Linked DNA regions of Elephas maximus indicus. The protein of the gene in region 2 purifies or fractionates together with the protein of the main gene of each other region. This does not show direct contact. Links are inferred from orthologs where the notes say so. Each region holds a gene or a part of one and is shown on either strand. Other genes may lie near its edges.

Evidence for each region.
Region 1: the proteins of BSG (region 2) and ATP2B4 purify together in Homo sapiens (affinity purification with mass spectrometry; 3 studies listed by BioGRID and IntAct, counting the BioPlex papers as one, with this or other methods). This does not show direct contact. The link is inferred for Elephas maximus indicus from reciprocal best matches to the Homo sapiens genes BSG and ATP2B4.
Region 3: the proteins of BSG (region 2) and SYMPK purify together in Homo sapiens (co-immunoprecipitation; 3 studies listed by BioGRID and IntAct, counting the BioPlex papers as one, with this or other methods). This does not show direct contact. The link is inferred for Elephas maximus indicus from reciprocal best matches to the Homo sapiens genes BSG and SYMPK.

What each region holds. Positions count from the first base shown.
Region 1 is NC_064836.1:12,759,326-12,766,348, reverse strand, and holds the start of ATP2B4 (plasma membrane calcium-transporting ATPase 4), read right to left. Parts: upstream 3,018-7,023; 5' UTR 2,600-3,017; intron 1-2,599. UniProt on the Homo sapiens protein: Calcium/calmodulin-regulated and magnesium-dependent enzyme that catalyzes the hydrolysis of ATP coupled with the transport of calcium out of the cell. By regulating sperm cell calcium homeostasis, may play a role in sperm motility.
Region 2 is NC_064821.1:308,588-315,996, reverse strand, and holds the start of BSG (basigin), read right to left. Parts: upstream 3,056-7,409; 5' UTR 2,959-3,055; coding exon 2,892-2,958; intron 1-2,891.
Region 3 is NC_064829.1:103,798,553-103,806,597, reverse strand, and holds the start of SYMPK (symplekin), read right to left. Parts: upstream 3,030-8,045; 5' UTR 2,945-3,029; intron 379-2,944; exon of another isoform or gene 349-378; 5' UTR 330-348; coding exon 225-329; intron 77-224; coding exon 11-76; intron 1-10. Other genes in the region: FOXA3 (hepatocyte nuclear factor 3-gamma), read left to right, coding at 3,982-4,050. UniProt on the Homo sapiens protein: Scaffold protein that functions as a component of a multimolecular complex involved in histone mRNA 3'-end processing. Specific component of the tight junction (TJ) plaque, but might not be an exclusively junctional component. May have a house-keeping rule.

The DNA.
Region 1 (7,023 bases), on a different chromosome or scaffold from region 2:
AATCCAAGCACCGGAGGTGGTAAGTGGAAGGGGAAGTGACTGAGCCTTAGCAGGGTCTGGACGGCAGCAAACCCCCGCTCCTGCAGCACTAGCATCTTCTCCACCGAGTACTTAGATTACGGCAGACCCGGGGAGGGTGGAGCCGAGCTGCGGGAGAGGCTGACGGCGGAGCGGGGTGGGGCGAGGCGGGGCGGCGAGGCAGCCCAGAGGGGAGGGGTCCGCGGGCTTGCTGCAGTATCGATCCCTGCCCTGGAGCACCCGCGAGACCGGCTGGGGCTGCAGAGAGCAGGCTCCACCGCTGCCCCCTACCCAGGACACCAGGTCGTGGAGCTGGCGCCAAGGTGGGCGCTAAATCGGAACCTGCAGGCAGAAGCCCTCCCCCAAAAGGATCCGCTCCAAGTCAGAATACTGAAAATAGGCCTGCTGCCCGAATGGTGAGATTCAGTACCCCCAAGACGCAAGGGCACACTGAAGGGCACAAGGAAGGGCACGGTGCGGCCTGATTTCGGGGTTGCACCTCAGCAAGATGGTGGAAAGGAGGATGGGGCTCCTGGATAAGTAGCAAAGAAATGGATTCCTTGGGCCCCCTTCCTACAGAGGAAGGGCACTGATTATGGCTTGTGACCTCTTAGCACTGGAGAAGGCCTCATTACCTTCTGGAACAGAACACAGGCAGGGAGAAGCCATCTAGCCTTGGGGTGCAGCCAGATCAATACTCCAACACCTCAAAATGAAAAGTGGTTCCTGTTGCTTCCTGTCCCCCATTTAAGCTCTCCTGGTCTTTTGCTTCCTTCCTCCCCAGTTTCTCTAGTTGGGGCTGAGGGCAGGTGTTTCCTCTCCCCCAGCCCGCTGCCCACAGATTTGCCTGCTTCAGGGACAGGAGTCACCTTCCAGACCACCTGTCCACCAAGCTGCCACCACCCCTCCAGAGCCAGCCCCCCGAAGCCACCATCCACAGCCAAGGAGGGTCAGTGGGCTCACTAGCCACCACCTCTGCCAGCCCCCTTCCTCCTAAGGTCCTCTCCATCCAGCCCTTCCCTACCCCAAGGCCTCTCTCCACCGCCGTCCCAGCCTGGAATACCCCCCTGATCTCTTCCTTCCAGGTAAAGAAGGCCCAGAAGTGAGGGGCTGGAGGGGGGTCATCCAAACGAGAAGGGCAGAGAGAAGGGGCCGCTCTGGGGAGGGGCTCAAAGAGAGAGTGGCACCCCACCCAGAAGAGGAGATGGCGCTGTGGAACCGGATTTTATTTTCCCTCCCTCCCTACCCCTTTTTCCCTTCCCCCCAGCGGCGTCGGTTGAGTGCCCGCCTATTTCTTCATCTGACATTCCCCCTACTAGGCCAGCAGCGCCAGCATCTTGTCTGCAAGTTATTGTAAGTCCTGCAGGAATGCCCAGGAGGGAGGCGCCTCTGGCTAACAGAGTGCCCACTCCTCTCCCAGGATGCGGCGGCCGCTGCCACTCCCGGGCCCTCCACATCCCGCTGGAGAAGAGCAGTGGGTGCCTTGGCGCGATGGCGCGTGTGAGGCTGGACTCGCTGCAAGGAGGGTGCCAGCCGGGATCCTCCGCCGGGAGTGGGCCTAGGATGTGAGTGTGTGAGACTGTGGTGTGTGTGTGAGAACGAAGGGCAGGAGGGACAATTCCGGCCTTAGTTTCTAGCTCCTCAGCAAAACAACACTGAGGCCCAAGACGCTTCAGGGACTCCCCCCACCCCGACTTCCCCGAGGATGCCTCTCGGCAACCCCCAAACGGCAAGCCCTCACCAGCCCCAGGTCACCGGCCTTGACATCGCAAACTTTCCAACTTCACCCCTTCTTCCTCCCTTTTGGGACCCGAGATGTGTGGGGTGGTGCCCTTCAGACACACTCATACAGTTGGTTCCCGACGCTGGCACACACTCAAACAACAGCGGTACTAGGGAACTCCTAGCTTTTTTCCACAGCTAATTATAGCCGTGAAAGTCTGAGGATGTTTTCAAGAGGCAGAGAGAAAACGCCGAGGTTTCTCCGCAAAGCCAAAGAAATTTATTTTGTGCACCCCCCTTCCCATTGTGCGCCTCTCTTAGCCCCCCCCCAGGGCACCCCTTTTCCAGTCCCCACTGCAGCCCCTCCTTCCTGCTGAAGATTTCTTACTTGGTTCTTTTTTTTTTTTTTTTTTTTTTCCATCTCTCTTTGGGGCTTTCGAGAAAGAGAACAGACACGGAAAATATTTTTGCAACAGTTTTCCATTCTGCGTCTGATTCCCAAGCCAAGGGGGAGGCGGAGGACAGGAACGGACGGGAGAAATAAATGCTTTTCTAAGAGCTCAATTTGGGTGTCAGAACAGTCCTGTCGTTTCCCTAACCCCCACAGCCCAGGAATGACAAGAACCAGGAAAAACAAAAGAAATCACTTGTTTGATTATGTGATTTCTCAGAACCAAGTCCAGGAAAGAAATATTTGACAAATCTGTTCACAGGCACACACGGAAAAAATCCCCCCAAATCTCCAAACCCAGTCACATAAAATATGCTCGGAAGCAGAAATTCAGGGAGTTTTAAAACGATTCAAAAGAAAGAAAGAAAGTTTGCAAATCAAGAGTCAATTCATTCCAAGCAAGCCTACCTCTTTCTAGCAAGGATCCGGGCTTCTCCGAGCGGGGCTCTCCCTCCGGGTCACCATGGACCGGGATAGGGTGACGGTGACCACCCGCCGGCCTCCCCACTGTGGCAACCGCTCTAGCGACGCTGGCTTTGCTTTCTGGCCTTTCTTGCCAGATCCGGGGAGTGGGCTGGGTTTCCTCCTCGGCCCTTCCAAAGGGAAAGACCTCTCAGGTCCCTGGAAGAAAAAGGGTTCGGGAGAGCTGGGCGGGTGTCTTTGATCTTGCTCTCCTTGGAGGGATGGTTCCCCAGGAAGTTGGCGCCCCCCCCACCCCCAGTCCCTAGATTTGGATGGCCTCAACAGCAGAGCTTTCTTAAGAAAATGCTTGTCATGGCAACAGCTCCTGCCAACTCCGGCCAGACCCTCGCTCACCAGCTCCCCGGAGCAGTGCGGGCGGAGCAAGGGGAGGAGCCGGAGCTGGAACCGAGGTGGGACTTGGCGCCAGGCCAGACCATCACTCCGCTGTTAAGGTGGCCCGACCGCGCGCTGCGGCTGCTTCCTGGTGTGTCTTAAGGGGGAATGGGGAAGGGAACCGGAGGAATCCCCTTCTCACTCGGGTTTCCTCCCCGCCCTTACTCTCACTTGTTGAAAAGAAAGCAGAGTCGGGGGTGGGGGGGTGGGGGGGGAAGGTGGGGAGTGGATATGGGTGGCGGTATTCAACCGTTGCTGGGTGGAGGGAAAAAAAGGAAGCTTCTGCAGGCGGTTGGCTTCCTGCAGCTCCTACCAGCCTCTCAACTTCTTACTGGCTTAGACTCGGGACCCAGAAGCCTAGAAACCCAAAGAATCTGCGGAGACTTTTATCTCCCACCCTCCCGCCCCTCTGAATAGGGACTCCTGGAGTGGAAGAAGGAATTGCACTCTGTGTGTGTGTGTGTGTGTAGCTTTGTTTATGTACACACCTTGGTACAAACCTTCTCCACCAGATTTCACACACAGATTCCTGGGTGGCATTTTGCCCTCTCTTGCTTCTGTACGCACCAGAGGCCATATAGGGTGGGTGATAATAGCTGCCTACCCTGAGTCCTACGATGTGCCACCTAGGACACCAGAAGCTTTGTATATGTGGTATGGTTTCTAATCCTCACGGCAATCTTGAAAGATATTTATTATTGTTCTCATTTTGTGGGTGAGGAAAATAAGGACCCAGTGATTCGCCCAAGTTTACACATCTAGTTAATGACAGAACCAGGAGTTAAGGCCAAATCAGGCTGACTCCCAAGCCCATGTACTTTTCTGCAGTCCTGTGGCACACATTTCAGACATCCATGCGCACTCGCATACAGCCTACAAAGGTAATCCCACCGCCAAACTCACACCCCCACCAGCATTGTGCAACAGTGCCACCCATAGATTTTGCATAGAACTTTATGGCTTTCAAGTACAAACATGCACCATCAGCTGGTTCGCACAACACGGCTTCATTGACTGATAGATTCCCACACCCACCTCAGCACACAAGCTCACTCACATTTACATGACTATGGGAGGCAGGTTAACCCACACCTCATAGGTTATAGCTGCAAATTCTGCTGTGAAGAAGGTTACTGACTACAACTTCCCAACCTTCTTAACAGAGGTTTGGGAGAAGGCCTCTTTAATCCAAACATCCTAACCCAACACCTCACACAACACCTGTCCTCCTTTGCAGCCTTCCCTTCCCCAGAACACAGAGCCTTCTGGCCATTTCACTGTGCACATGGAGAAACAGAGTTGTGAATGAAACCCAAGGGTTTGGATTCTGCCAGTCAGCACCCTTCCCAATTTTCTAAGAAAAATCCTCACAACCGGACCGATAAGCAACATCATGATAAACAGAAAATATTGAAGTTGTCAAGGATTTTGTTTTACTTGGATCCACAATCAAAGCCCATGAAAACAGCAGTCAAGAAATCAAACAATGCATTGCATTGGGCAAATCTGACGCAAAAGACCTCCTTAAAGTGTTAAAAAGCAAAGGGGTCACTTTGAAGACTAAGGTGCACCTGATTCACGCCATGGTGTTTTCAGTTGCCTCAAAGACACATGAAAGCTGGATAATGAATAAGGAAGACTGAAGAAAAATTGATGCCTTTAAATTATGGTATTGGCAAAGAATATTGAATATACCACGGACTGCCAAAAGCACGAACAAATCTGTCTTGGAAGAAGTCCAGCCAGAACGCTCCTTAGAAACGAGGATGGCAAGACTTCATTTCATGGACGTGTTATTTTGGACATGTTATCAGGAGGGACCAGTCCCTGGAGAAGGACGTCGTGCTTGGTAAAGTAAAGGATCAGCTACAAAGAGGAAGGCCCTCAATGAGATGGAGTGACACAGTGGCTGCAAAAATGGGCTCAAGCGTAGCAATGATTGTGAGGGTGGCGCAGGATTGGGCAGTGTTTCTTTCTGTTGTGCACAGGGTTGCTGTGAGTCGGAACCAACTTGATAGCACCTAACAGCAACAACATCTATGGAAACCATCCATGGGATTTTCTCAAGCAGTTCTTTTTTCCTAGGATTTGAAGTTCTTGCCCTCCTAGGCACTTATCATTGTTGTTAGCTGCTGTCAAGTCTGCTCCTGACTCACGGTGACCTCATGCATAACAGAATAAAATGCTTCCCAGTCCTGCACCATCCCCATGGTTAGTTGCAAATTGGATCATTGTGATCCATAGTGTTCCCCTGGCTGATTTTCAGAAGTAGATTACCAGGCCTTTCTTCCTAGTCTGTCCTAGTCTAGTTCAGCTCTGCTGAAACCTGTTCAGCATCATAGTAACATACAAGCCTCCACTGACAGACGAGTGGTAAGAAATCTAACCCGCGTCTCCCCCTGTGAAAGGCAAGAATTCTACCTCTGGGCCACCACTGCCCTGTTCCTAGGCACTTAGAGGACACTACGGTGAGGTTTTGTTCTCATTTGCACCCCACCCCTCTCTCCAATTTTCTGGTCCTATCCTTCCAGGGCATTTCGGTGGAAGAACTTGGCACTGGCCTTGTGAGTTCTCCTCATTTTTACTGATGGTTGGGATAGAAAGGACACCTTCTCAGATTTTGGTAGGTCCCACCAAAACGTCAACTTCACGAACCAAAATCAATTGTTGGGGGAGGCAAGGGAATGAATGGAAAGAAATCAGCTGAACAGAGCTTCACATTTAGTGGCTTGTTATGTTCTCTGCTGGATTGCAACAACTTGACATTTTAGCACCCAGTGAGTGTCGGTTGCATCTTTATCATGAGAAAGCCAGTCCCCGAAATGGCTCTTTAAATGTATTACAGTATATTTTAAGCTTGTCTTCAGTGGCTGTATGTGGAGGCATTGCCTAACTCTTCGATAAACTTTTCTTGGGGGAATAATAATTCAGGCCAGATGTATGGCTCCACTAAAGGGGAAGTCTGCTTTGGCTGTCTGGCATGTGGGGGCTGGACGTGATGCCAGGTGACAGCTGGTCATTATTGGAAAGGCAATAGCCTTTTCTTAAATTCCCTGGGCTTCAGGGAGACAGGCTCAGCAGGGCAGGCGCTGCTGAAAGAAGCCTAATGTCTGTCCCACCTCCTCTGGCTAGGTTTCATGGATGAGCCCAGGTTGTGACTTCTAAGGTAGTTGGAAGGAGTCCCTAGGTGGTACACTGGACTACCAACCAAAAGGTTAATGGTTCAAACCCACCAGAGGTACCTCTGAAGTAAGGCCTGGCAATCTACTCTCAAAACATCACAGCCTTGAAAACCCTGTGAAGCACAATTCTAATCTGCATGCACGGGGTCGCCACGGGTCAGAGTTGACTTGATGGCAGCTAACAACAACAGCATGGTTGTTGTAGGTCTTCCCTTTTCTCAGAGCCCACTGCTTTCCCTTCTCTGCCTGGGGGGTTGTGGGGTGAGAAAAGAGAAATTCCCCTGTTCCATTCCCACCCCAGCCTCCATGAAGACAGGAGAGAGGGATTTGGGTGGTAGGACAAGGTGACTCCAGGGGTGACTTAAGCCTGATTTCTGGAGGTGAGCCAGCCACTGAAGCCTGTGCTTTCTGGAAACCCAGAAGCCTCAGTGCCTTGTTGCTTCCAGCAGCAGGTTTGGAGCTGAGGTCTAGAATGGGTAAAAATAAATCCATCCATAAAAATAACCACTAGATGTGGGAAAGTGGAGTTGTGCCCCTGTGGCAGGAGGGAGGGCATTGCTTCTGGCATCAGAAGTTCATAGTTTGGCTTTTCTGCAAGGTTCAGCTCCCCTAAGCCTCTGAGTAACCCCATTTGTCTTTCATCCTTGTCCTCCTCTTGACTTTACTTCTTTAGCTGTAGCCCGGCTCTCTTCAGTCAGGTGTCATGGCCTCCCCAGAGCAGGTGAATCTCTGCAGGGCTCAAGCCACTGTTGACACTGTCCACCCCATCCCTCTTTCACGAATATGCAATCACAG
Region 2 (7,409 bases):
GCTCCCGGAGGTGCTGTCTGCTTTGGGCAGAGGGACAGGTCCTCACACAGGTGTGTCTTCCTCCCCCACAGGCCCCCACCACGAATGTGTCGTGCAGTCCCTGAATACTGCTGAGGGACACACACACGTATGCACACACACAGCCCCAGTTCCAAGGCAGTGGTGAGAAGAGCCAAGTGGTCCCCCACGAGGCAGCCCAAGGCAGGCAAGGCGACTGTCCTCGGCAGAGAGCCACCTCTGGTCTCCTGAGCTTCTCAGAGAGAATCAGGCCTCCCCAGTTGCGAAACCAGCAGCTGAGTACAGGGCAGGGCAGGGCTGGAACAGGGCAGGAAGTGGAGTCTAAGGTCCCCCCGCTCCCCGCGGGCTTCTCTACCTTTACAGCTGTTCTCACCACCCAGAGCTGCTAGAAAAGAGGCCTGGGGGGGGGGCGGGGGGGGGGGGGAGAGTCTGTTCCCTCTGCGTTTGTGAAGGGGTGAGTGTGGACTACCCCCACCCCCATCTATCAGCACCAGCGGGGCAGCATCCATGGGCCACATCCTAGAGATCTGGGGCTGCTCCGAACAAGGTGGATGTTGTCCCCAAGGGGCAGAAGTAGGCTCTGGGGGATAAAAACCCCTAGTGTCAAGGCCACTCTCAAGAGGCAGTGAGGATCACACATGATGTTAATTTTCAGTGTGGGACAATTAGTAAAAAATGTCTCAAAAGGCCCCTTACTGGGCAAGAACTGAAAAAAGCAGAAAAGCCTCCCCCACTTCTGCAGGAGGTTTAGGATTGGATCCCGCCTGGCCCCCAGGGTTCACAGGAGGCCCCCAAGAGCACTCAAGACCTCAGGAAGCCCTGACCCCCCGCTCCTAGAAAAGTCAAAGCTGATGCTGGCCACGTGATCTGCAGCCTGTGATCTCAAGTAAAGTCACCTTCATCTAAAAACAGCCACTCCCTCCTGCTTCCCTCTGGGCTGGGGGCCAGCCACGGGCCTGGAGGTAAACAAGCTGCCCAGGCCTGCAGGGGAGGCGCCCCGCCCGGGTGGAGCAGACAGCAGGGCTGCGGGGCACTGTCTGCCATCTGTGGGTCCCCCGGCCCCAGATTTCCCCAGTGGGAGAGAAGAGCAGGGCTGTCAGCATGAGAAAGGAAAACGAACCAAGTCTGCCCGGCAACTCCACCCTACTCCTGCTCAGCTCAGACCACCGCCTGCCCGGGAGAGAGTGTGGCGCTCAGCATTAGTTCGAGGTGAGACGTGTGTTGAGCTTGAACCCAGATAAGGATGCGTCCCCAACACCAGGTGGCTTCTAAAGGTCCCCTGCCAGCAACAGCCTATCTGCCGCCCCCTGGCATATCTGTGTCTCAGCATCTCAGTTAACAGCTGTGTGATTAGAAAAGCGAAGACCAAACAGTCTTGAAGTTGGTCAGGAGCTCCCACCCACTGTGCCCACTGCCAGAATGATGCCCCCACCTCTCCCAAGCACGGATTCCAGCCCTCACGTCTGCACTCTGTCCCCTATGTGCGTGTGGACACCGTAAATCTTTAACCCAAAACCAAACGTGTAGTCCAGATACAGGAAAGGAACAACCCTATGAAGCAAGAGAGCCCTTCTTGTGTTTCCCCTCAGACCATTCTTCCCACTTCAGCAAACTGCACTGGAAATCCACCACCACTGAATCTTTAAAAAACTACTCTGGACATTTCCTACCCTGAACTTTGGGGCCAAGGCAACCTCGTCATGACCTTGGAGTATCTTCCCTCCCTCCTGGGCCTCAGTTTCCCCAGCTGTAGGAGCAGGTGCGGACTAGAGCCCAAGGTCTGGTGAGGCCCAGCAGCAGGCCCCAGGTGGCACAGGGGACAGTGCACACCACAGCAAGGCTGAGGCCCAAATCCCATCGGGAATGATAATCCCCCCACCCAGGAAGCTGACCCATTTTTGAGCCATTTCACATGCACCTGTATTCGCGTCAGTGTGAGAATGACAGGAGCCCATTTTCCAGAAGAGAAAGCCCAAGCTGCCCAGGACATACTGGGACCACAGCCATGGATCCGAGTTCAGGGGAGGTGGGTCTTTCTGCTGCACCCCTACCCTAACACAGGCCCCAGGCAGGGGGTGACACCGAGATCCAGTCTCAGGTCGCACTCCAGGCCCTGCAGGCTCCAAGGGGCTCCCGGGACGAATGAGACGAGACCGAGGCCAGGCCCAGACTCCGACCCCGCAGTTCTGGCCCAAAGGGGAGGACGCTCAAGGACCCAGGCCCCGGTCTCCCTCCCTCTGGTCCAGACGCTCCTGCTGGAAGCGGCGGCAGGCGGCCCACCTCTGGAGCCCACCCCATATGCCCTCATCCAGGGCCAGTCCCCTCCCGGAGGCTCCAGCCCGGGGGCCCGAACGGCAGCTTGGGGACTGCACCTCCAGCACCGCCCCGGGCCAGGCGCCCCAGGTGCTCCCCCCAAGCTCGGGGGCTTCGCTCCCAGGTCCCGATGAGAAGCCCACCCGCCGCGAGCCCCGGCCGCGGGCTTCAGCCAGGCCTGTCCGGAGCTCCCCGGGAGCCCCCAGCGCGCGGCCTCACCGCCACTCCGCCCGGCCGCCCCCGGCGCCCCGGACCCGCACCGACGCCCCGGACCCCGCACCGGCGCCCCGCACCCGCACCGACGCCCCGCATCCGCACCGACGCCCCGCACCCCGCACCGGCGCCCCAGACCCCGCACCCCGCACCGGCGCCCCGCACCCCGCACCGGCGCCCCAGACCCCGCACCCCGCACCGGCGCCCCGCACCCCGCACCGGCGCCCCGCACCCGCACCGGCGCCCCGGACCCCGCACCGGCGCCCCGCGCCCCGCACCGGCGCCCCGCACCCGCGGCCTCCATGCCGGGCCCCCTTCGGGCGTCGCGACCCCGGCCCGGTCCTCACCCGCCCCGGAGGCGCCCTCGACGCCCAGGAGCGCGGCCACCAGCACCACGAGCAGCACGGCCGCCATGTCGCCTCGTCCGTCCTCCGCCGCCGCAGCCAACTGCCGCCACCCGTCGCCGCCGCCGCCCGCGGCCGCAATAAGAACCGGCAGAGGCCGCGGGCGCGCGCGCGCAGGGCGGCGTCCGGGGCGCGCGCACGCAGGGCACGCCGGCCGGTCCGTTTGCGCACGCGCGGGGGCGCACGTACGCACGCGCTGACTCAGACCGGTTAGCGCTAAGGGCATCCGGGCGGCGGCACCAGGCACGTGTCCGCGGCGAGCCACGCCTCCTGGCCTCCTGGCCCCCGGCCCCGGCGTTGCTAGGAAACGCGGGCGGGGCCGGCGAGGACCCGGCTGGGAGGCCGTTTCCCGCCCTGGCTTCTCGGAGAGTCTGTGGGCCGCGTCCGTTCGTCCTTCCGGCAGCGAGTCTTTGGAAAAGCTCTTAGTGAGGCTACAGGGTGCCAGCTGTGACCAGGTGGGATGCGAACCCCTGGCTTGATGCTACCAGCTTAGCAAATAAAAATACCGGACAGCAGTTAAATTTCAGATAGAGAACAAATAATTTTGTAGTGTTTAAGTGTCCCGTGCAATATTTGGACATAGTTATTTAAAAAAAAAAAAAAACCTATTTGTGTTTCTCTGAAATTGCAGCTTCACTGGTCGACCTCCATTTTGTCTGGCAACTCTGCCCTGGGGCCTGTGTTTTTACTACACACACTGACGCGAACGATGAATGCCGTGTGGGGTGTTCGCCTCAGAAATTAATCAACACTCGGATTTGACTCGCATAAACTCGTTTCGTTTACCGCAGGGGGGTCCTGCCAAACAAAGCACGCAACAAGGCCCCCGCCCGTAGAGCCAGAGAATCAGGCAACAGCCACCGTTATCTCCGTGGTGAGAGCTCCGTGGTGAGAGCCCCGTGGTGAGAGCCCCGTGGTGAGAGCCCGTGGTGAGAGCCCGTGGTGAGAGCCCGTGGTGGGAGCCCCGTGGTGAGAGCCCGTGGTGGGAGCTCCGTGGTGAGAGCCCGTGGTGGGAGCCCCGTGGTGGGAGCCCCGTGGTGGGAGCCCCGTGGTGGGAGCTCCGTGGTGAGAGCCCGTGGTGGGAGCCCCGTGGTGAGAGCCCGTGGTGGGAGCTCCGTGGTGAGAGCCCGTGGTGGGAGCCCCGTGGTGGGAGCCCCGTGGTGGGAGCCCCGTGGTGAGAGCCCGTGGTGGGAGCTCCGTGGTGAGAGCCCGTGGTGGGAGCCCCGTGGTGGGAGCCCCGTGGTGGGAGCCCCGTGGTGAGAGCCCGTGGTGAGAGCCCGTGGTGGGAGCCCCGTGGTGAGAGCCCGTGGTGGGAGCCCCGTGGTGGGAGCCCCGTGGTGGGAGCTCCGTGGTGAGTGCTCCGTGGTGAGAGCCCCGTGGTGAGAGCCCGTGGTGAGAGCCCGTGGTGAGAGCTCCGTGGTGAGAGCCCCGTGGTGACAGCCCCGTGGTGGGAGCCCCGTGGTGGGAGCCCCGTGGTGGGAGCCCGTGGTGGGAGCCCCGTGGTGGGAGCCCCGTGGTGAGAGCTCCGTGGTGAGAGCTCCGTGTTGAGAGACTCCAGGCGTTTTCTCTGAGGAGTGGTCTCGGGAGGAAGGCTCGACCACGGGTGGGGTCCCTCACAGCTGGGCGCGAGGTTGGCAGCAGCGAGGAGCTCCCATCTCTGCCTTCTCAGCGGGTGGGCGGAAGTTCAGGGTTTACATACAGATGCCTCGTCTTGGCCTCACAGGATGGGCCCACTGTGACATCAAAGACTAGTTGGTAACGTCTTCTCTGCAGAGTTAGAGGTTAGCCGAATGTCTCGTCTTTTCTTCAGGGTTAGAGATGAGGAAGTTGTTTAGATTTATATCTCAAGACTAGTTTCTGAAGCTTGCTATGCTGTTTGCTTTCGTCGCAGCATGCCAGGTTTAAGTCAACTTTATGGTTATTCACGCTCTTCACCCACTTCACTTGCTTCTATTTGTCAGTTAGGAATTTCTAAATCACTTTCTAATGATTTACAGTTAATGGTTAGAGAGGCCTACAAAGGCAGACATATTTCTATTTCTAAATTCATATTATGAGTACATACATATATGTATATATGCAAGGATAGGAGTGACTTAGACTTAATATGATTGGAAAGCATTACAGAAACATACAGAACAATAAAGTAATTTCAAATGCTGATAAATGCAAATGTAAAAAACATCGCTGTTGAGTCGATTCCAACTCATGGCGGTAGCCCAGTGCGGCAGAGTAGAAACTGTATGTGCTCTGTAGGGTTTTCTTTCTTTTTTTGCTTAAACAAGCAGGAATTTATTTTCTAACACTTAGGCTGGAAGTCTGAATTCAGGGTTTTGGCTCTCGGGGAAGGCTTTCCCTCTCTGTTGGCCCTGGAGGAAGGTCCTTACCTCTTTTCAGTTTCTGTTCCTCCGTGATCTTCCTGTGACTTGGTACCTGTCTTCCCCCATCTCTCTCCTCAGCTTGCTTCCTTAATCTGCTCTTTTATGTCTCAAGAGAGATTGATGTAAGACGCACCCAACACTAACACTTCCTCATTAACGTAACAAAGAAAAGCACTTCCCAAATGGGACTATAAGGACACATAGGGTTTTCAGTGACTGATTTTTTTTTGGAAGTAGATTGCCAGGCCTTTCTTTCCAGGCACCTCTGGATGGACTCAAACCTCCAGCCCTTCAGTTAGCTGCCAAGCACATTTACTGTTTATACCACCAGGGGATCAAAGACCTAAATATAAGTACTGAACTAGAAAACTCTTAGAAGAAGAAAAAAAAACAGAAAATTTTAATTTTTTTCTAAGAAAACATGGGGATAAATCTTTGTGACTTAGATTAGGCAATGGTTTCTTAGACATGACACCAGAAGCACAAGAAACCAAAGAAAAAGTAGATAAGTTGGACCCCATCCAAACTTCTGTGCTTCAAAGGAAACCACCAAGAAAGTGCAAAGACAACCCATCAAATAGGAGAAAGTATTTGCAAATCATATGTCTGATAAAGGACTTATACCTGGGATCTATAAAGGACTCTTACAAGCTTATAATAAAAAGACAAACAATACAAAATCAGCAAAGACCCGAATAGCCAGTTTTCCTAAGAAGATGTACAAAAGGCTGATAAGCATAGGAAAAGGTGCTTAACATCATTAGTCATCGCCAAGGGCCCCTTCACCCACACTGGGATGGCTATTATAAACAGACAGATGATAACAAGTGTTGGCAAGGACGCGGGAAGACAGGCATCTTCATCCATTGCTCATGGGAAGGTAAAATGGTGTAGCCGCTGTGGAAAACAGTTTGGTGGCTCCACAAAAACTCAAACGTAAAACTGATGTGACCAGCAATTCCACTCCGAGCTATATATAAAAAATATATATATATACATACAGACGTATAATGTGGAGAAAGGGGACAGCCCAAGTGTCCATCTGCAGCTGAATAGATAATACAACGTGGTCCGTCCACACAACGGATTATCAGCCATAAAGAGGGAAGAAGTACTGATACCTGCCGTAACGTGGACGGACCTCACAAACATGATACTCCGTGAAAGAAGTTAGGCACAAAAGACCACATATTGTCTGATTCCATTTTGATATGAAATGTCCAGAATAGGCAAATCCATAGAGATGAAAGTGGATTAGCAGTTTCCAGGGACCAGGGGAGGAGGGATGGGGAGTGACTTTTAATGGGTACAGGGTTCCCTTTTGGGGCGGTGAGAAGGTTCGGGAACCAGGCAAAGGTTTTGGTTGCACAGCATTGTGAATGCCCTAAAAACCGCTGAGCTGTGCACTTTAAATGGGTAAAGAGCCTGGTGAGCAAATTACATCTCAATACAAAAATAGGGTGATGTGAGTTCCCAGGGGAGAGTGCCTGCTTCAGGTGAGGGTCCAGCAGCTTCTTCAAGGAGGTGACATTTGAGAACACAGTGTCCCCTGCCTGAGCAGGAGGGAAGCGTTATCCAGGGAGGGGTCTTCTCAGAGCTGATGGAGCCCAAGTATGGTGGACAGGGAGGGGAGGCTGGAAGGACGGGCAGTGCTGGGCGACAGAGGGGCATGCTGATGAAGGAAGGGGCTGAGCTGGCAAGGGCTTCAGGCCAGGGATGGCTGCGGGTCAGGGGCCTGGGCCTCAGAGCAGCCGAGCCCCAGCCCTGGCAGCCATCCAGGCTTAGAAAGGCTGCCAGCCCCACTGGGGGATTGGGAGCTACGTGCAGAATCGGGGAGGACCACGAGGCCCAGGCAGGGGCCACTGGCTTCAAAGCCCTTCCAGGGTTGTAAACAACCCCTCCTGCCTGGCTGATATCCTGAGCCTCCTGGCGAGCTTCTGCTGAATTCCCCCTCGGCATCCCACATGTCGGAAAACAGGCCTCCTGGGAAACATGAGGGCCACCTGCAGCTTCTGGAAGCCTTAGTCTTCATGTACAAGGTCAAGCTGCATCTCTTTGAAGACACGGTGTCCTGGCACTC
Region 3 (8,045 bases), on a different chromosome or scaffold from region 2:
CACCCCTCACCTGTTTGAGCACTGTGATCTTTGAGTCATTGGTGATCAGTGCTGCCTGGTTCAGGAGATCCACCACCTAGAGGGGAAAGAAAGGCAGGGGGTGGTGCTGGCCTTGCCAGCCTAGCCCATTGGCACTCCCAAGGCTCTGTGATCTGGGGGTGGGGGTGGCCCGCCGAAAGCCAGGGCTGTGCATCCCAACTCCGAGCCCTTCTCTCCACACTCACCCTTTCTGAGGTGGTCATGCCATCAATGCCTGCTCCCTCCTCTTGTGTGAAAAACTGAGAGGCCACACTCCGGCGGGTAACACTGTCCCCACTGCTGCTCGCCATGGCTGCTGTCAGGTATCCCCTGGGGAAGAAGGGGATGGGTCAAGCTGACCTACACCCCATCACCAACACAGGGCTCAACCCACTTCCCCAGCCTGTCCTTTCCTTGTCCTGCCTTCCAAAGTCCCGGCCTACTCCAGACTACATGTACGTGTGCATGGTGGTTGTAATCTGGGGGAGACTGATGTCACTCGCCTTCCCTGATGGACTTCCAGGTCAGAGGCAGGTCCCCAAGTTCCAGCTCCAGTACTTTATATACAGCAAGCAGACCAGAACATCTGCTGAATGGCTGGATGCCAAATGAACCACAGAAGCCACCTTACTGGTCTCCATGCTTCCTGACTTTCTCAAACAAAGCTCTGAGGAACTCCAATCATGGAGCAGCCCTGCCCACAGTCGGTACCCGATACATCAGAAAAGCCCTAGTTAAAGAGGTTATATTACAGCTATTCTCTGGAATACTATGGAGCTGGGAGGGGAGGGGGGACTTTTGGACAGTGGTGGCTCAGTGATAGGATTCTAGCCTTCCATGAGCGAGACCTGGGTTTGATACCCAGTCAGTGCACCTCATGCGCAGCTATCACCTGCCTGTCTGTGGAAGCTTATGTGTTGTCAAGATGCTGAACAGGTTTTGGTGGAGCTTCCAAACTAAGACGAACCAGAGAGAAAGGCCTGGCTATCTACTTCTGAAAATCAGCCAGCGGAAACCCTACAGATCACAACAGTCCGATTCCCAGCCAATCGTGTGTGTGGCCAGGACCAGGCAGGATTTTGTTCCATTGTGTGTGGGGTTAGCATGAGTTGGAGACTGACTGGACGGCCGCTAGCAATAACATCCCAAAGTTATACTGGTAATATCATAAAATGATTAGTGTAGAAGGATCTCGATGACAGCTCTATTCGTAATAGCAAAAGGCCAGAAACAACCCACACGTTCTTAAATAATGGAACTGGTTGAAAAATTATGATACAACCACATGATAAATACTATGCCACTGGAAAAAGGACTAAGAGGAAAAAGAAAGAAATAAAGAAAATCTTTATACACTGATGGGGAGCAGACTCCTGTGTTATATTAAGTTAAAGGAAGTAAAGAGGAAGGTGGTGTTTATCACCATATGCTCCACTTCTATAAAAACAAATATATACATATATACATACAAAAAAGCAAACAAACAACAAACTGAAAAGACAAACCAAAAACCGTAAGTGGGAGAAAACAGTAAAAAAAAAAAGTGGCGGATCTCATGTACTATCAGGACAGGATGTCTACGACAGTCTGCTGTGTCACAAAACAGTACGTGCAATTCAATCCATTTCTGCCAAGCTTCTGCGTGTGTATTCACAGAATAACCTGAGGTAAGAAACTTAATCTCTCTGGGTCTCAGTTTCTATCTCTGTACAACGGGGATGGTAACAGTGCCTGACTGCCAAGGCTATTCTTAGTATATGTAGTAAATGTTAGATGAGTATGGCTATTGTTACCTACACGGGAAAAGAGCTGAAAAACAGTCCACAAACCATTAGCAATAATCACCTCAGGGGAACAGAATTTAGGGAGGGCAAAAAAGATACGTTTTTAAAAAGGAACATTATGTACTGTACAGAGTAGCTATTTGATAGATGTCTGCTGAATGAATGACTACAGTTATGGATTGAATTGTGTTCCCCAAAAACGTGTGTCAACTGGGCTAGGCCGTGATTCCCAGTATTGTGCAACTGTCCACCATTTCGTGATCTGATGTGATTTTCCTATGCATTGTAAATCCTATCTCTATGATGTTAATGAGGCAGGACTCAATCTACAGGATTAGGTTGTCTTCTGAGTCAACCTCTTTGGAGATATAAAAGACAGAGAAGCAAGCAAAGAGACAGAAGGACCTCATGGCATCAAGAATGAAGAACCAGAAAGGGAGTGGGTCCCTGGGTTGAGAAGCTACTAGACCAGGTGAAGATTAATGACAAGGACCTTTCCCTAGAACAGACAGAAAAAGAAAGCCTGGAGCTGGCGCCCTCAACTCGGACTTCTAGCCTCTTAGACTGGGACAAAATAAATTTCTCTTTGTTAAAGCCATCCATTTGTGGCATTTGTTAGAGCAGCACCACATAAGTAAACTGAGTAAACAGCCTCTTGCCTATGCTCCCTGCTGCCTGTCACTCCCACATCTCATTCAAAGTCGACCCAAAATCCTCCCCAGGAGTGCTACGCAGGGGAAGTGACGTTTGCGCCCGGCCCCAAAGGATGAATGGGAATTAGCCAGGCAGAATGGGTAAAAGGGTACTGCGGGCAGAAGGGTCAGCATGTGCAAAAGCCATGAGGCGGGGAGCTGCACGGCAAGTTTGAGGAACCGAAAAGCCGGTGCAGCTGTGAGAGGTGGGGGGTGAGCAAAAAGGCAGCGAGGAAGCCGGCGAGGTCGGCGGGGCGGGCGCGCTTTGGGGGCCACATTGGAACTTTGCCCTGAGGGCACTGGGGAGCCACGGAAGGGTGCTGAGCAGGGGAAGAAACAAGGGTCCCGAACGCCACTGCTCCCCTCTCCTGTCGCGGCCCCCCAGCGCCCCCGCCTCCTGAGGGCCCCTCCTCCCTTCGTTCCCCGGCCCCCAGGCCGTCCCCCGCTCACCGCGGCTCCGGCCTCCGTCCCCCTCGCGCCCCCTCAGCAGCGCCTCCTCACAGACGCCACCGACGCCATCTTTCCCTCGCCGCCGTGACACTGCGCACGCGCTGCGCACGCAGGGCTGCCGGGAAATGGAGTCCAGACCGCCCCGACCCCGCCCTTACCTCGTGCGGCGCGAGCGGCCTTCCTCACTTCCCCAGAGTGCCCTGAGACCGCCCCTCACAGGCTTCCGGGAAATGTAGTCCCTTGGTAGAGGCACAGGGCGGAAAGGGAGCTAGAGGCTTCTGGGAAATGGAGTTCCCAGTGGTTCCGAGTCCCTGGACGGCGGGGTTGGAGAGCTTAAAGAATCCCGGAGGCGAAGCTTCGAGGTGGTCTGTTGTCCTAGTGTGGTATGATCAGAGGCCCGGTTTCCCCATCCTTAGCCCTGACCCTTTCTTTCCAGTCTGAACATTTCCAGCCGTCGGAAGCCTCAGTATTCTCATCTGTACATTGGGAGTGCGCTTTCCAGGCTCTGCTAAGGGTCCTGATAGTGGTACATCGGTACCCCTAGAGCGCCCTGCGCGCTGCGCCCCTTTCCTCCGCCGTTGCCATGCTGGGCTCTGGATATTGGTTCTCTTTTGTCGAGGTGATGAACATGTCCCTCCCCCTCGGGTAGAAGTGCTCCAGAGCTGTACCTTCGGGGCCTTTAATATCAGCAGGGTCTCACCCCGGCAGCTCCCTCACTCTTCAGCCATCTCCTGCTCTCGCGTCCCCGGAATGCGGTCCCCGGCGCCTGAGGTCTCTCTCCTCGCAGTCCCGCAGGGGGCGCCCCAGGCCGAGCGCACCGCCCTCGGGGAGGCGGGAGGGCAGTCCGGGGCGGGCGAGGGGCGGGGGTGTCCCGGCTATAAAGCGTGGCCGCCTCCCGCGGCGCCCGGGACGGCGGGGACCCCGGGCAGTCGGACGGGCAGGCGCCGTTCGGAGTCGGGCCGTTCCTGCTGAGCGATCTGAAGTGTTCCGTTCCCCCGGGACCGGAACGGGAGCGGGTGGGGGCGCAGGCCCCGGGGATGCTGGGCTCGGTGAAGATGGAGGCCCATGACCTGGCCGAGTGGAGCTACTACCCCGAGGCGGGCGAGGTGTGTCCTCGGGGATGACGGAGCGGGAAGTGGGGGGCAGGCACCCGGGTGTGGGTTTAAATGGGGACAGGGATAGGCGCGTGGGCTCAAACGGGACCGGGGCATCTAACTGGGGAGACAAGGAACGGGGGACACGAAAACCAGGTGTGCGAATCCGGGACAGGGGACAAGGCATGGACTCGCGGCTTCGGCAGGCGAGCCGGGGTGAGGGCTCAAATAAGAGTCAGGAAAACGTAGGCAAAGGTCAGGTCATAGTTTAAACGTGAAGGCTGGGTTTTGGGGACCCGAAATCCCAGGGATTAAAATGAACAAACCAAAGATAGGAATCCGAGCTCCAGGGTAGCGGACAGAGTTGAAGAATTAGGAAATGGGGTTCAAAGTTGGAGGAAAGATAATGAGCTGGGGGTAGGGAGAAACCACTAAGGGAGGTTTGCGGTGGGAGCAAGGAGTCCTGATGGCGCAGTGGTTAAGCGTTCAGCTGCTGCTGCTGATGGAAAGGCCTGAGGTTTGAACCCACCAGCTGCCTCGCGGGAGAAAAGACCTGGCTGGCCATTTGCTCCTGTAAAGATTACAGCCTTGGAAACCCTATTGGACAGTTCTACTTTGTCCTATAGGGTCACTATGAGTCCGAATCGATTGGACGACAATAGGTTTTGGAGGTGGGAGCTCAGGTTTAGAATATGGTGGTAAAGTTGGGGGTTCAGGAATGAGGATCAAGGTGGCCATCTAAGATAGGGCCAGGAATAGTGGTTGGCACTCAGGAGTACGAGATGGGGGTGTTCAGAGATGAAGCTTTCTTTTGGGGGTCCGAGATAACAGACAGGTTAGAGTTGGGGCTCGGATAGATGTGGGCATCACCTTTGCGGGTATTTAGAGGGTGTGTTTCAATCTCCATCCTCCCATCCTTCCCCAGGACTCGCAGCCCCTCCCAGCTGAACTTAACTGCTATTAGAGTCCTTTAGCAGGGACTCCCCTCTTTGGAGGGTGGAGGGTTTCAGATTATCCCTGCCCCCCAGCAACCTCCAGCAATTGCTAATGTCCTCATCCAGTCTGATTTTAGACAAGGCCTCCTTGGATTTGTGGGTGGGGGTTTATCCTAATTCCCTCAGGCCAGGAGACAAGAAGTCCTTCTCCAAGTCTAACTACTGTTCCCCTTGTTGCAAGGATTCCTGCTGCTTTCTTTACTCACTCTATAGTCCACATGGAAATCCTGGTGGCATAGTGGTTAAGAACTACGCCTGCTAATCAAAAGTTTGGCAGTTGGAATCCACCAGGCCCTCCTTGGAAACTCTGTGTGGCAGTTCTGCTCTGTCCTATAGGGTCACTATGAGTCGGAATCGACTGGACGGCATTGGGTTTTTTTTATAGTCCATATTGTGAGACCTGGGAGTAGGGGATCCTAGTCTGAGAGTTACGGGGTCTGGATGCTTGTGTTCCTAACCTGGAAGGAAACTGCAAGCTTGAGGTGGGGATGTGAGGCTGGAATGGCTGAGTTTTCCAGGGAGACTGAGATCTGGGGGTTATGTGGGCCCCAGCATGCCTGAGTCCTGGGTCTGGGGTTTGAAGCTGTAGGGTGGGTCTCCTGGATCCCCAGACCTGTGGGGCCTGGCAGTGTGCCTAGGAGGGGCCAGTCATGGGGCAGTGGAGGTGTGAAGTGCACGTGGGATAGGGAAGGGCCAGCTGGGGAAGGGGCTGGGAGTGTTGAGAGGTAGAGGCGGGGCAGCTAGAGGTGTCAGTGGTGAGATGGGAAAGGTGGAGACCAGGGTGGGAAGTGGAGGCTCCTGGCTAGTGGGGGGATTCTAGCCGGGCCTCCTGGAGAGCTCAGAGTCTAGGCATTTGGCTTAAGAGGACCATCCACTAATCAGTGTTTTGGGGGCACATCTTAGAAGTAGTTTGTGGGCGAGTCTATGCTGGGGGAATCAATATTTGGGATGCAGTCTGGATGGATCCAAGTTTAGGGGAACAATTTGCACGGACAGTCTAGATAACTCAGAAATTGAAGGACAATCCAGAGGGGATCAACATTTGGGGACAGTTTGGGGGCATATTTTAGAAGAGTCCACATATGGGTAGCTGGAAATGGTTTGGAGGGTACTGTCTGGGAGTCTCCCCAAACCCTCCCATCAGATTAACCCACCTCCTTCCCTCTGGGCCGGAACAATGGGGCCAGAAATACCTACACTCACCCAGCAACCAACAGGGTCCTCAAACCACCTCTTCCTGCTGGGGTGATGTTGATACCCCCAGGCTGGCTCCCTGTCAAGAGAGTTTGGAAAGTTATCACCCCTGGTCCACCCCTACTGGCCTCAGGTTCTTAGAGATCAGCTGATCCACTGCTCCCCCATTTTAGAGATGGAAAATTGAAGCCCAGAGGAGTGTTGGGGGCTGCTTGAAGCCCAGGGCTGGGCCAGGGACTGGACACTAGGCTTCTGGCTTTGCACTGCCTACCTCTGCTCCCGTCACACCCTCCCTCAGGAACAATAAGGAAATGAAAGGGAAGAAATTCTAGCCTCCTGCAGTGGGGGTGCAGGTCCCCTGAGGGCTTCCCCCCATCTCAGCCCCACCCTGGCGGGGGAGATCCGGCTTAGACCCGGACACCGGGCTTCACCTCAGCCCTGGGGCGTGGGAAAGCCTAGGGTGGATTAGGGCAACTACAGAGCTTGAGGTCAGACCTAAAGGAGGACTTCCTGGTGGGTGGGAAAGCCAGTAAAGGAGGGCCCTAGGGTCTCAGTCTGTCTTACTCTGCTATACAAGAACTTAGCTGAGTTAGAGAATTGGTGGGGGGGGGGCGGGTGGCAAAAGGACTTAGAAATCCCTCCCCAACTCTCTCTGGATCCCACTGAATTCATTGCCTCCTTTCATCTCTGAAGGACCCGCCTTCCTTATTCTGGGGAGGGGGCAGAGCCAGCCAACCAGGGGGACACAGTGGGTGGAAGAGGGAAGTAACTTTGGCTCCGGTTTCAGTGTTGAACTTTTGGGGCAATGGTGATGCTGAGGGAAGGAGACAGATACCAAGATGTTCTGAGGGAGAAAGAGATGGGAGGTGGCAGGGGAGTGGGGGAGAGAGACAGAAAGCCATGGAAGGGTGGAGAGAGACAGGGGAGGGATGGGAAGGAGGGACAGGGTGGGGAGCAGATGGGGGGGGAGAGGTGGGGTTGAGGAGAGGAAGGCAGAGAAGGGAAGGGATAGTGGCAGGTGAGACAGGCAGGAAGAGAGAGACAGGGCGGGGGGGGTGTGAAAGAGATACAGACCCAAAGAGGGAAGAAGAGAGGGAGAGCAAAGGAGATGGGGGAGAGAAGGGAAAGAAAGGAGGAGAGAGGTGGAAGGGGGAAGAGAGAGAGGGGGAAAAGTCAGAGGGGAAAAGAAAGAGGGAGAAAGGGAACCATGGAGACATGAAGAGGAAAAGAACTTAGAGTTACTGAGACAGGGAAGGAGACAGACAGACAGACACAGACAAAACCAACCGAGAGCTCCAGGGATAAAAGAGAGAAGAGCTATCTGGAGAGACTTGCAAAGGAGCGAGGGGAGGATTCTTGACTGGGACTCTGACCTGGAATTGGTTGCCACCTGGCCCTGACCACCCCAGTGGCCATGGGCAAGTCCCTTTTCTCTCTGGACTTTGGGACCCGCAGGCACTGACAGTGCAGGCAGGGGAGGAGATGGGACCTCCTGACCCACACCAAAGCTGGCTCTGGCCAGAGCTATGGCAGCTCCCCCAGTGCCCTGGGACCCCCGGCTGCAAATGGGGACACTGCCTTCCTGGTCTCCCTGGAGGAGGAGGCAGGGCAGATGGAGATGTAGATGTAAGAGGGAGGAGACAGGCTGGGAGAGAGCAGGTGAGAGGGATAAATAGAGGATGAGAAAAACCATCATCGAAATCAGTTGCCATCAGGTCAGCCTGACTAATGACGACCCATGTGTGTCAGGATAGAACTGAGTTCCATAGGGTTTTCATTGGTTGATTTTCAGAGGTAGATCACCAGGCCTTTCTTCCA